5 linked regions of the Xenopus tropicalis genome follow. The protein of the gene in region 5 interacts with the protein of the main gene of each other region in a biochemical or structural test. Links are inferred from orthologs where the notes say so. Each region holds a gene or a part of one and is shown on either strand. Other genes may lie near its edges. The genes, in order: plasma membrane calcium-transporting ATPase 4, cntnap2, caskin1, fchsd2 and cask.

Region 1 (3,516 bases), about 14 Mb from region 5:
GTACTGTTAGAATCTCAATTCTTCCTACTTTCCTTTTTGCAGTATGTGGGGAAGCTGCTGCAGGAGTGGAGGATGAAGGTGAGGCTCAAGCTGGATGGATTGAAGGGGCAGCCATCTTATTCTCGGTCATCATAGTTGTGCTTGTTACCGCCTTCAATGACTGGAGCAAAGAGAAGCAATTTCGAGGCCTACAGAGCCGAATTGAGCAGGAGCAGAAATTCACTGTTATCCGCAAAGGACAGGTTATCCAAATCCCTGTAGCAGAGCTAGTAGTCGGTGATATTGCACAAATAAAATATGGTATGTATAGGAAGAGTTTTTATAGACTATCACTGTTTAGAAATACAATAACAGTATTGTTATTTTCCCAGCATTCCACTGTAAACCTGTTTTATGATCTGATGTATAATCTGATGTATTTGTTTGTTATACAGGTGACCTCCTTCCTGCTGATGGGATATTGATTCAAGGCAATGACTTAAAAATTGATGAAAGCTCTCTAACTGGGGAGAGCGATCAGGTGAAAAAATCATTAGAGAAAGACCCCATGCTTTTGTCAGGTAAAATTGTTTCTATACCTGTGGGGTTAATTCTAAATAGAAGTGCTGTCTAAATTTGGTGATTTTGGTTGTATTTTTTTTTTTTTTTTAAATTGTATGGTGGCCCTTGCAGTTCTCTGTTGCTTGATGAATCCACACAAGTAGCAAATCGGTTCATAATCTGGCACATTTTTTGGCTATTCACTGACATTGTCGGACTAAGGTGTCTAGGGCCCCCCGTCCCAGTTGGTATTTGCAAGTACGCCTCTTCCACCCACCCCACCTGCTGCAGGTTTTTTCCTGGTGTCCCGCCGGCCCAGTCAGACCCTGATCACTGATGCAGTCGCATCAAATATGTTATGAGTAAAAGGGAACATACCGTCAAAGATGAATGCACAGTTGTAAATTAAATGTTTGTATGTGCAAATATTGTACCTACATCCCCACAAATATGTTTAAAAGTGCACATTTTAGACTTGCAGCCAAACTACATTAAGCCCTATAGCTATAGGGTTACTAAATGGCACAAAATGGAATCCTTCACCAGACTTGCAATGGTATGCCACAGGTACTGTGGGGTTTAGAATTGAATGCAAATTCTGGGCATATCAGGAAGTTTTAGATTATTGCAATTTTTATAACCCTCAAATATTTAAAATAAATAGATATATAAATTAGCTCCATGATGTTAGTAATAGCTTCTGCCTTGTTTGCCCACAGGAACACACGTAATGGAAGGGTCTGGACGTATGGTAGTCACAGCAGTAGGTGTCAACTCTCAAACTGGCATAATATTCACTTTGCTAGGTGCAAATGAGGGAGGTGAAGAGGAAAAAAAATCCAAAAAAGGTAATAATCCCTTGCACAGTATTTAAAAATTGGGTTTATAATGAGCAACCAAGGAACAAGAGTAACTCACTTGGATTTGCTCATGATTCATTGTAAGTTCACAATCTAAGTAAAAAAAAAAAAAAAAAAACAGATATTGAGATTGTGTAACATTTTTTTTGTTTTCTTTTTTTTTACATCGTTGTATAAAATCTTCGATCTGACACTTTAAATGAAACAAATTATGTATGTACAATTCCAAAAATGTTTTAATATATATTAATAAATATTGTAAAAATAAAACAAAACTGGGTTTATGTCAGCCCTTTACAAATGATTCTGGTTTGTATCAGACTATATTTACATGTGCAGAGGTCTACATACTACAGCAGTCTTCAAGTAAGTTAAAACACAGAATAGAAATATTTCTTCTTTGCTTTTGTGATCTGGTGTGCATACGTATACATAACTAATTTAGCAATTTGTGACTGTCAATTGTATTTTAGATGACATGGTTGGAAAGAAAATATTGGTTTTAATTTTCCTATATCAGTTCCTGTATCCTGTATTTCCTATATCAGCTCCTGCTTGCAATTGGAAATCCTTACAAACTTGTCTTAATTTTTCTAGGAGATTTTTTTTGGAAAAATTCCTTTTACCTTCCGCTGTCCTCACATCTTTGCTTTGCAACAGTTTTTTAACACTCACTGTGTCCTATTCACAGACTTTTTCTATCCATACTCATCTCTAACATTTGTGTGGGTGAGCATTTGGGGAACAGTGATCACAACATGGTCTCCTTTGAGATAATGCTGCAGAGACAGCTCTATAAGGGAGTAACTAAAACGCTCGATTTTAGATGTGCAGACTTTGCCAGTATAAGGGCATCTCTGCAATGTGTCAACTGGGAAAGGCTTAGGTTAGACACGGAAGGAAAATGGAACATCTTTAAAACATTGCTTTGCTGGTATACACAACAGTATATTCCCCTTGTACGAAGGAGAGGCATCGCAAAGCAAAACCTTTATGGCTGAATAAAAGTGTTAGTGTCGAGGTTGGTAAGAAAAAACGTGCTTTTAAAGCATTCAAGTTAGCTGGGACAGACGAAACTTTCATCAGGTACAAGGAAGCAAATAAAGCATGCAAAAAAGCTATCAGGCAAGCTAGAATAGAGATGGAAAGGGATATTGCAGCTAGGAGTAAAAAGAATCCAAAATTATTTTTTAATTATGTGAATGGTAAAAAAATGAAGCAAGAAGGGGTGGGAACCTTATTATCACAGGGGGGTAAGTTGGTTGATGAGAACGGGGAAAAAGCAGAAATTTTGAACTCCTTATTTTTCATCTGTCTATACATCTGAGGAGCCAGCTAATGAAGGCTTCCCTTTTAATATGCCCAGTTCTAGTAATTTAGCTACTGACACATGGGTCACTCAGGAGGAAATTCAAAAGAGACTTGAACATGTAAAGGTAAACAAAGGTCCAGGACCGGATGGGATTCATCCCAGGGTATTAAATGAGCTGAGCGCTGTGATTGCCAAGCCTCTTCACATAATTTTTCAGGATTCGTTGAGGTCTGGCATGGTGCCGAGAGACTGGCGAATTGCTAATAAGGGATAGGGTACTTTAATACAGTGCAGTTCACAATACTATAAGTTTGTGCCAGCATGGTTTTATGCGTAACAGATCTTGCCAGACTAATTTAGTCGCCTTTTATGAGGAGGTGAGCAGGAACCTCGATGCTGGAATGGCAGTTGATGTCATCTACTTGGACTTTGCTAAAGTGTTTTATACAGTACCTCCCAGAAGGTTGATGATCAAATTGAGGAATATTGGCCTAGAACGTAATATTTGTAATTGGATATAGAACTGGCTGAAGGATAGATTACAAAGAGTGGTGGTAAATAGAACATTTTCTAATTGGACCAGTGTGGTTAGAAGAGTACCGCAGGGGTCAGTCCTTGGTCCTTTGCTTTTTAACTTGTTTATTAATGACCTGGAGGTGGGCATAGACAATATTGTTTCTATTTTTGCTGATGACACTAAATTGTGCAAAACTATAAGTTCCATGCAGGATGCTGCCACTTTGCAGAGCGATTTGAAAATATTGGAAAACTGGGCAGCAAACTGGAAAATGAGGTTCAATGTTG
Region 2 (4,134 bases), on a different chromosome or scaffold from region 5:
TGCTTTCATTTTCTAACTTGTTGTAGACTGTCGATAACCAGTTGCTGATTAGAAGCTGTTGGCAACTGCATTTATGCAATTTAGCACCTATATTCGTAAATAAGCCTTATGGACATGGAAATGTCTCAAAGCATAGCAACATCAGGCAATATCTCAGTTCAATGCTATTTGTTTGTCAATATTTATGTACAAAGACATTATAACGATTAATTAATACAAATTATACAATTACAATATTTAAAAATCGCGTTATAGCACATTTTAATGTTATATATCTTTCCTTTTAATGTTATATATCTACTATCTTTGTGTTGGCATGCAAGTAGTTAATTTCACCTACACATAAAGGAGGAGGCAGGGGACATTCATCACTTGGTTTCATTGGCAGATGTGCTGCTAAGTCAGATTAAAACTTAAAGGGCACAAAAGCTTTCATACTCATGTTGGGATTGGTTACTGGAAGCCCTCCAGAGATGCTTTATCTACAACTCCCAGCATCTTTCTATTGATGAATGCTTGCTGGGATTTGTGTTTAAATGAAACTTAGCAACCATATGTTTAAGTTGCCACTCTTATATCACTGACAGTTGAATATTACTGCCTATCCTGCATTTGTAATTAAAACCTTATTCAGAATAGCTGGAGACAGTGCCCAGAACACAGTGTCACCATCTTACTGAATTCTGACAGTACTAAGACTATCCAGGAGCACAAGAGGTTAATGGTCACGTATACACTTTATAAGGTCTGTGTTGCTGCATTTTAATCCAACTACATAACACATGAAATGGTCTGTTTAATTTCATAAATTGATTGCTATACTTTCAGTAGCATGCCCAGTTCTACAAATGGCAGCAACTATATAAAAGAGTGAATATACAGTACCCTATAGTTTACCAAAGGAGGACGCCACTCAAACTGTCCATTTAACCACTGATAAATATGCCTCTTAAATTAGCATATTACGTAAACAGCCTTACAGAAAGTAGCAAATACACTAAATCATATCAAGAATAGCTATAATATGCATGTATTCACATAGACATCTGAGAGGTACAACCATAGTAACTCTAGTCAAACAGCATCACAGGAAGCCCCAAAGATGCAGAGGTGCAGGACTGTAATGTGACAGGTTCAGCTTCTGCCCTCAGCATTTACCTGACTGAGTATCAACAATAATTAATGGATATCAGAGAGTCTATCACACATTGTCGACTTGCAATTACAGAAAAAATATCTTCATCTCAGACAATATAGTCCCATGCACACGGGGGGGGGGGGGGGGGGGGGTAGTTAATGCCATTAATTGTCATGGTTAGGCAATGCTGAAAATGAGGCCAAATAAATAAATCTTCTATAAACACCAAGGCCGCCCTACCTGCTGCCCTCCTGCTAGCTATAAACTTCAATACCCACCATCTGTAGCCCTACAACAGCTGAAGGCCATAGATCTGATTATAAAAGCAATTTATATGAAATAAAACACAGCTCACATGCCAATAATATATGTTTATGGTAGAAGCAGCAGAACCACACAGTGGGCACACATGGCACATTACGCCCCATGATAATAACAGCAGCCTAGCTTTCACAAAAATACGTGCTTTCATTCACAAGAATTCCATGTTTAAAATTAACAACTTCCAAATATGTTTGTTTTCCCATCTAATTTGTAAATGAAGCATTCATTCATCAGTTTTTTGCACTTTATTTCTGGGAAATCAATGCACAACAAACTTTCTTACTGGTATTTCAGACAAAAAAAGAACCAAGCTGCTGTATCAAAGCACATAACTTCCCTACAATAATGCTGCCATTCTAACACTCCTTGTGCACCCCAGACTTATTCAGTTTCAGCAGGACCGTAATGGAAATCATCCACATTCCATTCACCCTGTGTGAGCTGCTTAAGTATTAATAAAGTCATGCAGCATGAGGCTTTGCCACTTATCTGCGACTAATGTTTAATCAGATGGCTCATGCCTTTGTGCCTTATAAGCAAATGTTTTCCTTTCCGATTAGTACCATGAGGAATCAGCAAATGTTAGAATTCTCATTGGAGCGGGGGAATTTCATAACTTTTAGGAAATATGCTGTGTGAGCCGTCTGCAGCCAGGCACTGGGTGACATACAGTGTTGAGTATATAGTGATTGAAGACAGCAGCAGGGGCAAAAGATCTCTGTTTATATGTCAGGGAGCCGTGGGAAACAAGTGGGAAATAGAAAGGGATAAAAGACTTACTAGATGTAGGGGAGGCACTCCGGGCCATGCAGTAGATGCAGCTCAAAATCCCCAGGAATGGAACAGTGCACCTGTCTCTGAATATCCAAACCATGGCTTGCAAATGGTCCTAGGTATAAACTCCAGATCCCAGCAGTGTGTATGTGGAACTTCTCCCAACAGTATTCCTGTTCTGTAGCCTTGCTTGCTTTGATGAGAAGGGGAGTGGAAGATAGGAAATAGCTGAGGGTGGGGTGGTTAAATATTTACCTCCCCCCTTGTCCAAGAATAACAAGCCCACCCCTGCCCTGCTTTGCCAGACCCTTGATTGGGTCTTCAAGTCCCCTTGATGTCCTTAGCAGTGAATTACCAAACTTGTTCTCACACTTCTGAAGATCATGGCTAAGAAGCAGACACAGAGAAACAGAAAGAAACAGATCAAACAACCTGTATCGGAAGAGTGTGTGTATCTTAACAGGAAAATCCCACACCGGCCATGGGCAAGTAGATTAGGATAGGAGTGAGGAGCAGGGAGATGGAAGCAGTGCTGCTGAAGCTGTCTCCGCAGCTGAGCCCTTCCAATTCCAGAGATTGGAATAACCCAGCTCAGAAACACACAGTCATACTGTATATATATATATATATATATATGCAGCCACACAGCAGAGCAGGCAGGCACAGGAGAAGACACTCCCCACAATCACATTGAAAAGCACAGAGCTATATTTATTCAGCAGCTCTCTAAGAGGAAGCAGAGCTCCAGCACTGCAGCACAGCCCACACCGGCTCCACTCCGCCGGCTGCTGCTGATGCTGCCACTGCTTCTTCCTCCCCAGCCCTGCTGTGTTCCTTCAGCCAGAAACCTTAGGCAGAAATCTTGCTTTTATGAGGCAGTCAGAGGGAGCAGAGTGTTCAATGGCTGAGCGTAGATGGCATGAAGCAGAACCCTTGTGTTGTTTTAATCTCTGCACCAGCTCCTGCAGACTGATGGAAGGGGGGAGGGGACCTATTAAAAGGCTGATCAGGGATACTGGGATGCTTGGGTTATTGCCTGCAGTTCAGCAGATAATCAGTAGATGGCCTTTTGCTAACAGTCAAGTGCATTTAAACATGACTCGTGTAATGCAAAGCACTGGAACAGTCAGAACAATGCACATGGCAGTGCTCCTTCTGTCAATAGGGCACCCACATGCAAACATCATAGGCTTCAAACAGAAATACATAAAAACATATTTCTAAACTGTCCCATATACAAAGAAACCTTGTTGGCTAGCTCAGATACAAATGATTAAATGCAAAAGCAATGTATGTGCAGCACTGCATGACATTTCCTAAGAAGACAGTTCTGAATAAGATGCTTATGAATTATAAAGTAAACATAGACTTACAAAGACCTTTTTCTGGCCATTTTATGGAAAATAAACTGTTGAATTGTTGGAAGTAAATGGAAATATAAAAGCCAGTATGTGCTTAATGTAAGAAAATGCCATTCTAACAATTTCCAAAATACATAATTGAAAATGTTTCTACTGTTTTAAAGTTATTCAGTAACAGAAAGCAGTATTTTCCTCTCACTTTATGTTCTCCTTGTTTTGGTTCTTGAAACAATGTAGCAGAATCTACAGTATTTTCTCCCTATCAGGACAATTCTTCTGAGGTCTGAGGACTATTTTCAATAGTCAGAACCAGGAGTGCAAAGAATAACAAAGAGTTGCTGATAACTTTCATATGAAGTAGGGATGCACCGAACCCAATTTCTCGTGTTTGGGCGAACCCCCAAATCCATCTGAAGGGATTTACCAAACTGAATCCGAATCCTAATTAACATATGCTAATTGGGATTTGGAAAGGTTAAATGTCTAAATTTTACACTTCCGTGTTTATGCGGCAACATTAACCCTTCCAAATCCTAA
Region 3 (4,069 bases), on a different chromosome or scaffold from region 5:
ACTGCTTGGGCTGCCATGAGTTTGTGTCAGACCCAGCATTCTGTCCCTCCTCAAGACAAATACTGTATAAATGCTGCCATGGCAGGAAGTTATGGCACAGACCAGGCATTCTGTTATTATTAACATTTAACATATATTTATAAAGCACCATGTTACTCTTCAATACAAATACAGTATAAATGCTGCCATGAGAGGAGGTCATGGCACAGACCATGCATTCTATCCCTCCTCAATACAAATACTGTATAAATGCTGCCATGAGAGGAGGTCATGGCACAGACCAGGCATTCTATCCCTCCTCAATACAAATGCTATATAAATGCTGCCATGACAGGAAGTTATGGCACAGACCAGGCATTCTATCCCTCCTCAATACAAATGCTATATAAATGCTGCCATGACAGGAAGTCATGGCACAGACCAGGCATTCTATCCCTCCTCAATACAAATACTTTATAAATGCTGCCATGAGAGGAGGTCATGACACAGACCAGGCATTCTGTCCCTTCTCAATACAAATACTGTATAAATGATGCCATGACAAGAAGTGATGGCACAGACCTGGAATTTTGTTCCTTTTTTATCCAAATACTGTATAAATGAATGAAGGCCAAAGAATATACAGGTAGCCATATATGAATGACAGTCATAGACCATGAGGTAAAACAACAACACTGCCACATAAGCATCAAGACTGGGATTCCAGGACCCAAAGATATAACCCAAACAAAACCAGTGGGAGCAGGAAAAGTGGAACCGGACCTGGCATGTATAAGGAGATGCTGTAAAATGATATCCTCCCTTTGATACACTGAGCAGTGGGACTGCCAGGCAAAGGACCAGGATACCATAGGTACCATATCCAGCATAGGGACCCAACGCTTCCACCATGTCCCCTCCCATTCCTGCATGCTGCAGCAATCACAGACCTCCACCGGACGCCCCTCACCCATCAGAATCCCTGTACCACTAATGCAGATTAGCTTTTCCCTCTCACAGTCCTTTCCCCAGTCAGGAGGCACCAGCTGAGCCTGACAGCGGCGTCATGCCATTAACACTCTTTCAGGGCCAATAACACTCTCTCTCAGGGCCCGGCAATGGCATTTTCTTCTAGCTGCAACACGAGCCCCCAAACTTCTGCTGCCAGCGACGGCCAACTTTGCAGCCACGTTATCCCATGGTTGCTGGGAGTTGTGGTTTAGGAAAAAGCCAGAGGGCTGCGAGGTGGACATCATTGGGACATAGCTGCCAGCAAAGCTTACACCCTATATATATATATATATATTCTTAATACTGATCTCATTACAATGCATGGGAAGAACAGGTGTCTATGTATGAATCCATCATGTAATGACATGGCACCCAAATATGCAATATTCCCTTCATACATATGATTAACCCTTTCGTCACTTGTGAGGTGAAAATGATGCTCCCTCTGCATGTCCCTCCATGAAACATCTTTCTGCACATGTACCCGTACTATATCCTTAGCCTGAAATCCTCCCCACCCCAACACACACAAAGTGCATCCACCAAACCGAGAGCAGCACCCAAATTCATGTTGCAACCAATGCAAAATACATATTTGTCGCTAAAATGGGGTATTATAGCCTGCAGAGTAAGGGCAACGCCACTGGAATTAATGGTGGATTGCACTTCTTTTGCACATGGCACCACTTGGTACATAACCCTGCTAATACCTAGCTGTCAGTAGAAGAAGGGGTATCTTGCAGAGGCTGGTGTGCACATCATAACACAGGGCACAGTGGGCATGCAAGGATACTGTATAAAAGCTCTCAAGCAAATACCCCATTGGCTGGCATACATATGTGCAAAATCTGACACGACAGGGCAGTCAACTGGCCTGAGAGTTCAGTAACTTAAGTGGAAAACATAACGTGGCACCAACATGCAGTTTGCCCCCAGTAACTGAGGCCCACGGTGCCAACTGCAGCTGTGTTCATGGCAAAGGGGCCAATTTTAGCCACAAACAGTATCTACTACATGAGGAATGCCCAACCTGGTGAGGTTGAATTGAAGCTCCCAGCATCCACCAATAGCCAATTATGAAGGATGCTGGGAGTTGTCGTTCGTCGCCAACTTGAGGGCCTCAGGTTGGGCAATCCTTGCGCAGGGAAAGTGCCTGCTAATTAATTCTTTGCTGATTAAATCCCCTTCAAGCTCTTGAGCCAATTAAATGGATCATCTCTGTGCTACTCACTGGCTTTGCCTGCCTTGGGTCTCTGCAGCAGCTTCTGTACCATCCCCAGGTCCTCGGTCTTCACAGCCTGGAGCAGCTCCTGGTCCTTCCCCATCCTTCTTCCTTTCACTGGGGAGGGGGGGTCAGATGGGGCTAAAGCTGGGGAGGGAGGGGGCAGATCCTGCTCAGATTGGTCCTTAGAGCCAGAGCATCCTTTTTGGCAGAAGGCGTTGAGGATGATGAAGAGGTGGAAAATGGTGAGGGGTGATGGAGATCAGGCTCCCTGCAGGGGTGGGGAGATGGGGGGAGACTGTCAGATGTGCTGGGGGGCAATAGAGACACCTCCAGCCGGGAGGAGCCACACTACAAGCAAGTGAGCAGCAATCACCATCCTGAATACGGGGGTTCGGGGTTCCCGGTTCGTTAGGGGATGTTTCGCCCTGCTTCTCCCTCACCGGCTGCGCGATGGCCGCACTGCTCCCCCGGGTATGTGGGCGCACAGGGTCACCCCAGGATACTGCTCCCGGTGCAGGACAGGCTCTCCCGCTAAAGGATGCTCGGCTCCGGGGTGCAGGCAGTGTGTGTGACTGTGTGTGTGCGACTGCGATCCGCCTCTCTCCCTCTCCTGATCCCTCCTCCCTCTCCCCCTGTATTGGCTGCGCTCACACTCAGCTGCATCCAGAGGCGGATCCGCGGCAGCAAAACCTGCAATTTCCAGCAGCGCAACTGCACCCATGCACCTACCGGCACCTACCGGCACCTACTGGCACTTACATACACCTACCGGCACCTACATACACCTACCGGCACTTACATACACCTACCGGCACTTACATACACCTACCGGCACCTACATACACCTGTGCCCAGGGCACCTACCGGCACCTACATACACCTACCGGCTACTACATACACCTACCGGCACCTACCGGCACACACATACACCTGTGCCCAGGGCACCTACTGGCACTTACATACACCTACCGGCACCTACATACACCTGTGCCCAGGGCACCTACCGGCACCTACTGGCACTTACATACACCTACCGGCACCTACATACACCTACCGGCACTTACATACACCTACCGGCACTTACATACACCTACCGGCACCTACATACACCTGTGCCCAGGGCACCTACCGGCACCTACATACACCTACCGGCTACTACATACACCTACCGGCACCTACCGGCACACACATACACCTGTGCCCAGGGCACCTACTGGCACTTACATACACCTACCGGCACCTACATACACCTGTGCCCAGGGCACCTACCGGCACCTACTGGCACTTACATACACCTACCGGCACCTACATACACCTACCGGCACTTACATACACCTACCGGCACTTACATACACCTACCGGCACCTACATACACCTGTGCCCAGGGCACCTACCGGCACCTACATACACCTACCGGCTACTACATACACCTACCGGCACCTACCGGCACACACATACACCTGTGCCCAGGGCACCTACTGGCACTTACATACACCTACCGGCACCTACTGGCACTTACATACACCTACCGGCACCTACTGGCACTTACATACACCTGTGCCCAGGGCACCTATTGGCACTTACATACACCTGTGCCCAGGGCACCTACCTGCACTTACATACACCTGTGCCCAGGGCACCTACTGGCACTTACATACACCTGTGCCCATGGCACCTACCGGCACTTACATACACCTGTGCCCAGGGCACCTACTGGCACATACATACACCTGTGCCTAGGGCACCTACCGGCACCTACTGGCACTTACATACACCTACCGGCACCTACTGGCACTTACATACACCTGTGCCCAGGGCACCTACCGGCACTTACATACACCTGTGCCCAGGGCA
Region 4 (3,516 bases), about 120 Mb from region 5:
TGCCAGAAGGACTGGAGCTGCTGTCATCAAAGGCATCCATGCTGTCCTCCAACTCCTCTCCATCCTCCCGATCCACATCTGTGCCTCCCTGTCAGCAAACAACCAAAGAAATCAGGCCTTCTGTCGGGGGAACATCAAAACCAACAACACACCTAACGCTGTGGCTATTCTTCACCTTAAAGGGGTTGTTCACCTTTGAATTAACTTTTAGTGTGATGTAGCAAGTGATATTCTGATAAAATTTGTAATTGGACTTTATTTTTTATTATTTGTATTTTTTTTTTTTAGTTATTTGACTTTGTTTAGCAGCTTTTCAGTTTGGAGATTGAGCAGCTATCTGGTTGCTAGGGTCCAAATTACCATAGCAACCAAGGCCTGGTTTGAATGAGAAGGCTGGTATATGAATGGCAGAGGGACTGGATAGAAAAGGTTATAAAAAAAAGTAACAATAACAAGAAAACTGGAGCCTCACAGAGCAATCGTTTCTGGCTGCCGGGGTCAGTGACCCCCATTTGAAAGCTGCAGAAGAAGGCAAATAGTTCAAAAACGATAAAAAATAAATAATGAAGACCAACTAAAAAGTTGCTTAGAATTGGTCATTCTATAACATACTTAAAGGTGAAGTGTAAAAAAGTGTAAAACCTGACAAATCCACAGATATCCATAGTACACGATGAATGGTAGCACCTATTGCCCTTCTACAGTATTTGTGTCTATCTTGCTTGGACTGTAAGCTTTGTGGTACAAGGCCTGCTGTCTCTTTAAACAGATGTGTAACTGTACAACTTTATTTATTTACTGCAGTGTTTTCAGCACTGGCATTTAGAGAATTCTGCCTTTCAGCACAAGAAGCCGGAGTTAATGAGTAAGCGAGACGCTCCCCTTGTGACACCGGAGACTCACGCTGCAATTACTACACATTCCCAGCCTTGTGTTCCTTTCATTTACATTTGCTGTAAATGAGGTGCCACTCATCGGCCGGTGCCTCCCAGACAGTTTATCAGACTGCCGGCCAGCGTTTCATAACCTGGGAGCATGATTTATGGTGAGACACCCACTGGCTCATTAACTTGTAATATAGAGAATTCCTCATGTTAAAGGGCAATAGGCCGGTAATAGATTTAACTTACAATCAGCAGCTCGGAAATACATTGCTTTGGGTTGTTCCTGCCTGTGGTTTTATGGCGAGATTTAATTACAGTAAGTACTGTAAATCCTAATTCACTTCCATTTTAATGCAATCACAGAATGACAAGGATCTTAGTATTAGTAACTACCCAAATGATATACCCAGCACACATGAGACAGCACATATGTGGCCCAATCGAATAGGAGATTGGCAACAGCTGGAACAGAACCCACTGGGCAATAATAGAAAAAGAAGTCATTCATGAGCTGCAGGTTGCCATTTTTTTGCAGTGACTGTAGCTGCAACCGTAAATAAGGTGCATTTTAATATAATATATTTTATATTATATTATATATAGAGGTAATGTGACTATACCATATGGGAGGAGCCATTATTCATCAGGGTTGGGAGGCTTGCCCAGCGCTCATTCTCCAGCTCCTCCATCACCTGATTCATTGCACTCTTCAGCCACGTGTCCACCGACACACCGATTTGCCGCAACAGATCCAGTCGGGCTTCAGCTTTTAGCTTTGTAATCTGTACAGGAATAGAACATTATTTGTTATTGTTTTTTATATAGTGGCATATTTCATCAGTCCCCGCCCCAGTGAAGCTTACAATCTAAGGTCCCTGTCAAATTCCTATCAGTCCCTGCCCCAGTGGAGCTTACAATCTAAGGTCCCTATCACATTCCCATCAGTCCCTGCCCCAGTGAAGCTTACACTCAAAGGTCCCTATAACATTGCCATCAGTCCCTGCCCCAGTGAGCTTACAATCTAAGGTCCTTATCACATTCCCGTCAGTCCCTGCCCCAGTGGAGCTTACAATCTAAGGTCCCTATCACATTCCCATCAGCCCCTGCCCCAGTGAGCTTACATTCCAAGGTCCCTATCACATTCACGTGGCCAATCTTGTTGCATCCAATTAACTTGCTTGTATGCTTTTGGTATGTGGGAGGAAGCTAAAGTACTGGCATGAAACCTATACAGACAATGGGAAAAAGCATAAACTCCTTGCAGATGGTTTCCAGGTCACAAAGGAACTTAGGATCCAGAGGCAGAAGCAGTGCTAACCATTTCTATGGACACATTTCCTTTGAATTTTGAATTAGAAATCACTGGCTTCCTGGTGGGAAGACATTTGCTTTGCCAATTGCGAGGAAACGTCGGGCATCTTAGTGATGCGTATGCCTTCTCACCGGCAGTTCACATTACTGCCGGTGGAAAAGTATTTAGGGGAGAGCAGTTGCCCACGTTAGCAGAAATTTATTGTGGGTGACTAATCTCCCTGTGGGACATTAGACTTAGCAATAATGAAGCATAACAAGGCATCAGTTACCAAAGACAGATAAGTAACTTATAACCAGATAGATAAATTACATGTTAAGTGAAAGGGTAGGAGGGTAGAGCTTTTGCTTGGCAATTCTCACTGTCTAATCAAGCACAAATAATCATTAGCTGCCCTAGGTATCCAGTATCTTCCTGCAACCTCATGTGCGTGCCACCATGCTGCTAATGTTCTCACAGCTATATTACAAATCCAAATATAGACCTTATTAGAAAGGCAACACAAAATAGGTCATTGGATTTGCCCCCTATATAGATACGCTAGTGCCCTCAGCTGTAAATGCCCCCTGAAAGCGGTTGCTAGTAATTGTAATTGCTCGTGGAGCATTTGGGCAAAACCAAATGGATCTGGGTGAATCTTTATTAAGGAAACTGGAGAAACACGAGTTAGATAAGGAAACACGAGTTAGATAATGAAAGTAAGAATCTGAGGTATAAGCAGCAGCAATAGGGCAATTTAGAGCCTAGATTATCTTTCTTACTTCCCCTTTATTTAACAATGCGGTACAGATGGTAGATCTGCATCCAATATTTATGGACTTTACACTCTAGGTATGGGAAATACCGGACCAGAAAGTCATAGGTGCATTACGAAACAGCCTCCCCCAGCCATGGGAAAGTAACCAGGCCAATGAAGTGTTGAAGTTTCTGATCTGAAAGGGCATACGGTAACCTAACCCCTGCAGCAACCAGACACAGGGACGCTAAACAATGTCACACCTGAGGAAGAGAATCAGGCGACAAAGAATATTGCCCTTTGTCGTGAAACCAGAGACAGATAGAGTCCTCATATTCTTGCCTAAGGCCTTAACCCTTACTGGGACATAATACTCATCAGCAACCAGTGACTTTTGCTGCAAGTTCTTGCTTCAAATCTTGCCTCTGTGCGCAAGCAAAGTTCTAAAATCTGGGAGCACAACACAACTGCACTGCTTGTTGGCCCCCCGATTTACCCCAGTGTTACAGATGGCACAACTTACCTCTGCCTTGCGCATATTCTCTCTAGTCTCTTCTATCTTTTGTTCCAGTTCCATCCGGCTC
Region 5 (3,516 bases):
TGGCTGCCTGTCAAGCAAAGGATAGCTTACAAAATCCTTCTGCTGACATTCAAAGCCCTTCACTCCTCTGCTCCTCACTACATTTCTTCACTGGTCTCCCTACATGTTCCTGGTCGTCTCCTCCGCTCCTCTCAGAGCCTCCGTCTCTTTACACCATCCACACCCACTGCGCTCTCTCGTCTTAAACCTTTCTTTCTATCTCGCTGCTCCTTACCTCTGGAACTCTATCCCTGAATCCCTCCGTAGGGAAAACTCACCCACTCTCTTTAAGAAAAAACTCAGCTGTTACCTTCTGGAGCACTAAAACATTATTTTGCCCAGTCCTGCGCTTAAGGGCAAATGCCCATACCTGATGCACTCTTACCTTCCAGTTTGTGCCTGTATGTTACCCAACCACTCAGATTGTAAGCTCTACGGGGCAGGGACCTCCTTCCTACTGTGTCTCATACCACATGGCACTTATAATAAATAAATACAATCACTTGTCCTCCCTGTGTGTAATTTTGTATTCTGTAAGACTGTACAGCGCTGCATACCCTTGTGGCGCTTTATAAATAAAGTTATACATACATACATACATACCTATCAGAGCCAAAATGCTTCTCCAGAAAGAGATGGTAATATGCAAGTTACATGCAGGAGCCAAGAAGCTTGGACATGACAATATAATTACAGACAGAACCCAAGTACTTCTGGAATTATAGGCACTATTACTCCTCTAGAAATCAGTAAAGCTTTTCCACAACATTCCCTATCAAATTGATAATGTCAAAAGACTGCATAAACAGCTCAAACCAAAAATGTAATTCCCTCAGAAATTCCTCTTCAAATGCCTATGCCACATTAAGTTCACTTATTCACCCTTGCTTTAGGATTGGACACAAGATCACAAGTAAAGAGTCATGTGACAATAATGGATTTACTTTACTTAGCACCAATTATAAATTAAGGTAAAACTATACACTTATGCGCTTTCACCTAAACACAAAATTTTTAATTTATTCTGACCTAATTTTTTTGCGCACATAGCCAATAAGTAATAAGAGGGAACATTGTATGCAGTGTTTAAAACATATATTTGACAGGTTAATAATGGCTAAGATTAATAGGGCAGTTAACAAAACTTATTTCCAAATAATAGAAGTAATGCAGCTCTAACTGTAACAGGAAAAAGTGTGGGAGTAAGGGCTCTGGCACACGGGGGAGATTAGTCGCCCGCGATAAAACTCCCTGTTCGCGGGCGACTAATCTCCCCGAGTTGCCTACCCCTGCCATCCCACAGGCGAACATGTAAGTCGCCGGCGGGATGGCAGACGCGGCGGGGCAATTTCAGGGAATCGCCGAAAAAGACTCGCGAGTCTTTTTCGGCGATTTGCGCGAAATCGCGCCGCCGCGTCTGCCATCCCGCCGGCGACTTACATGTTCGCCGGTGGGATGGCAGAGGTAGGCAACTCGGGGAGATTAGTTGCCTGCGAACAGGGAGTTTTATCGCGGGCGACTAATCTCCCCCGTGTGCCAGAGCCCTAAAAGTCAGAACTTTGTCTATTCATTGGCTAATTTGACCTAGCATGTATATGGTTTGTTTGTGTGTCCTGTGAATCATACAATTTAAGAAGCTACCCATTTTGTGATTATGGCAAATATGTCTAGAAACTTATATTTTTATGAAAATGGGTAATTTAGATAAAGCATATGTAAATGGTTTACATATGGGCTGTTTTATGCATATATTTTTAGCGACCAATTCTGTTTAGTGGCAGCCAGCAGCTTCAATGGCTTCACATGAAAATCCCCGGTCACAGAGCACATTACAATTGATATATTAGTGGCTAACATCTCACTGCTGCTGCTGTTGATGAGAACAGCTAGGTTCAGAAACCTAATTTAAAGCACATATATGACAGGGAGGCAAATTAAGATAATTTATTGTTAAAATGTAAATTTCAGAGAAACAACTCAAATTATTATATGTGGCACACTATTTGAAAATAGCTTTTGTAAAAATAACTGCACACTTAATCAAAACGATGTGGCCACACACAAAAAGCAAAAACAACAACAATATTTTGGGTGTTCAGCAACTGTTTCCAATATTTAGCCCACCAGAAACCCTAGCTTATGGCCAAGCTAGTGCTGTGAAGCAGACCTGAACTGCCCATCCACCTACAGTATTGATCCATCAAATATGCTGTGCTCATTTCATAAATCATTTTTTTAGTAAGGCCTGTGGTTAGGGTAGAGAACACAGCCTTTCAATTTGATGGTAAAATCCTTAACAGGATCATTGTAGATTTCTGCAATATTTAACTTTTAAGATAGAACTGACTATTCATATGAACAATTCTCTGCATCAGCAAACCATAACAAAGTACTATAACATGTAAGTGGAAACACACAACCCACTCCATAAAACCAAAAACACTTACCACTCTTGAAGTTCAGGAGAGGGAATGAGACCAGCAGTGCCATTTTTAGCGTTTTCCAGTTTGCCCTGCCACCAGTTGTGGTCATCCTTACTAATAATTTGGATAATGTCTCCAACTCTAAATCTGATGCCAGCTTCTTTACAAGGAATGAGGTCATCTTTTGCTGGATCATATTCAAATTGTGCTCTTACATATATCTAAGTAACAATATAAATCATGAAATATTAAGAGATTAGCGAGGTTAAACATGAAAGGTCACAGAAAGCCCTGTTTCATATCCGATGCTGTGCTTTTTGTAAGCATTACAAATAGTAAGAACAATGATGTGAAAATTAGTAATCAGCATGCAAATAAAAGTAGTGAGCTAAAGCTTGCATGAAAGAAGGAAAATGAATACAAGATTTTCTAGTAAAAATCTATACACGACATACATGTTGAAATCCTATAGCATCACATGGAAATACTATTTTCAGCATCTGTCTATACAAAAGACTAAAGCTACTATACACTGGCCAATAAAAGCTGGCAGCAGTCTGAGTTGGCAGTTTATCGGTCTATGTATGGATCTGACCGATATCCTTGCAAAAATTGGACAAATGTTGATCACACAGGTTTAAAAATCCCTTCAAAACAAGGAGCGCATTGGTGCATTGATGCAGTCCTCACCCTGATGGCCTGTATCCTGTAAATGTGATTCAATAACGCCCATCTCAAGGTGGGCATTTCAGTAAAAGATCCACTTGTTTGCCAAACTCGCCAAATGAGCGGATCTTCACATGTATGGCCAACTTAAGATTTTCATACCATCAAGTTAAAAAAATGTTGAGCTAAATATTATAAAACCTCATTCCTTTTACCTTGCTAATAAATGCAACCTAACGTAACTGTGGCATATAGGAGGGATGCTGAGACTGTTATATAAATATACAAGTAAGACAAATGGAGCCAGGGAAAAAAATGACAAGTTATATAGAAATTGTATTCACCTGTCTTCCTTTTGTCTGGGTGGTTGTTGGAATGTCCTGCAGAACAAAGTCAACCCAAAAGAAGACATTTTTATTTTACAGGCTACCCAAAGTTTGATTCTTTA

The links.
Region 1: the proteins of cask (region 5) and plasma membrane calcium-transporting ATPase 4 form a complex in vitro, tested with the Homo sapiens proteins (2 studies listed by BioGRID and IntAct, with this or other methods). The link is inferred for Xenopus tropicalis from reciprocal best matches to the Homo sapiens genes CASK and ATP2B4.
Region 2: the proteins of cask (region 5) and cntnap2 form a complex in vitro, tested with the Homo sapiens proteins (2 studies listed by BioGRID and IntAct, with this or other methods). The link is inferred for Xenopus tropicalis from reciprocal best matches to the Homo sapiens genes CASK and CNTNAP2.
Region 3: the proteins of cask (region 5) and caskin1 interact in a biophysical measurement, tested with the Homo sapiens proteins (2 studies listed by IntAct, with this or other methods). The link is inferred for Xenopus tropicalis from reciprocal best matches to the Homo sapiens genes CASK and CASKIN1.
Region 4: the proteins of cask (region 5) and fchsd2 form a complex in vitro, tested with the Homo sapiens proteins (2 studies listed by BioGRID and IntAct, with this or other methods). The link is inferred for Xenopus tropicalis from reciprocal best matches to the Homo sapiens genes CASK and FCHSD2.

Annotation. Positions count from the first base shown.
Region 1 is NC_030678.2:70,269,581-70,273,096, reverse strand, and holds part of plasma membrane calcium-transporting ATPase 4, read left to right. Parts: intron 1-42; coding exon 43-300; intron 301-434; coding exon 435-560; intron 561-1,259; coding exon 1,260-1,388; intron 1,389-3,516. UniProt on the Homo sapiens protein: Calcium/calmodulin-regulated and magnesium-dependent enzyme that catalyzes the hydrolysis of ATP coupled with the transport of calcium out of the cell. By regulating sperm cell calcium homeostasis, may play a role in sperm motility.
Region 2 is NC_030682.2:56,137,152-56,141,285, forward strand, and holds the start of cntnap2 (contactin-associated protein-like 2), read right to left. Parts: upstream 2,806-4,134; 5' UTR 2,337-2,805; coding exon 2,243-2,336; intron 1-2,242. UniProt on the Homo sapiens protein: Required for gap junction formation. Required, with CNTNAP1, for radial and longitudinal organization of myelinated axons.
Region 3 is NC_030685.2:19,460,949-19,465,017, reverse strand, and holds the start of caskin1 (caskin-1), read right to left. Parts: upstream 2,806-4,069; 5' UTR 2,316-2,805; coding exon 2,222-2,315; intron 1-2,221.
Region 4 is NC_030678.2:172,222,723-172,226,238, forward strand, and holds part of fchsd2 (F-BAR and double SH3 domains protein 2), read right to left. Parts: coding exon 3,456-3,516; intron 1,667-3,455; coding exon 1,505-1,666; intron 89-1,504; coding exon 1-88. UniProt on the Homo sapiens protein: Adapter protein that plays a role in endocytosis via clathrin-coated pits. Contributes to the internalization of cell surface receptors, such as integrin ITGB1 and transferrin receptor.
Region 5 is NC_030678.2:56,619,870-56,623,385, reverse strand, and holds part of cask (peripheral plasma membrane protein CASK), read right to left. Parts: intron 3,449-3,516; coding exon 3,413-3,448; intron 2,624-3,412; coding exon 2,427-2,623; intron 1-2,426. UniProt on the Homo sapiens protein: Multidomain scaffolding Mg(2+)-independent protein kinase that catalyzes the phosphotransfer from ATP to proteins such as NRXN1, and plays a role in synaptic transmembrane protein anchoring and ion channel trafficking.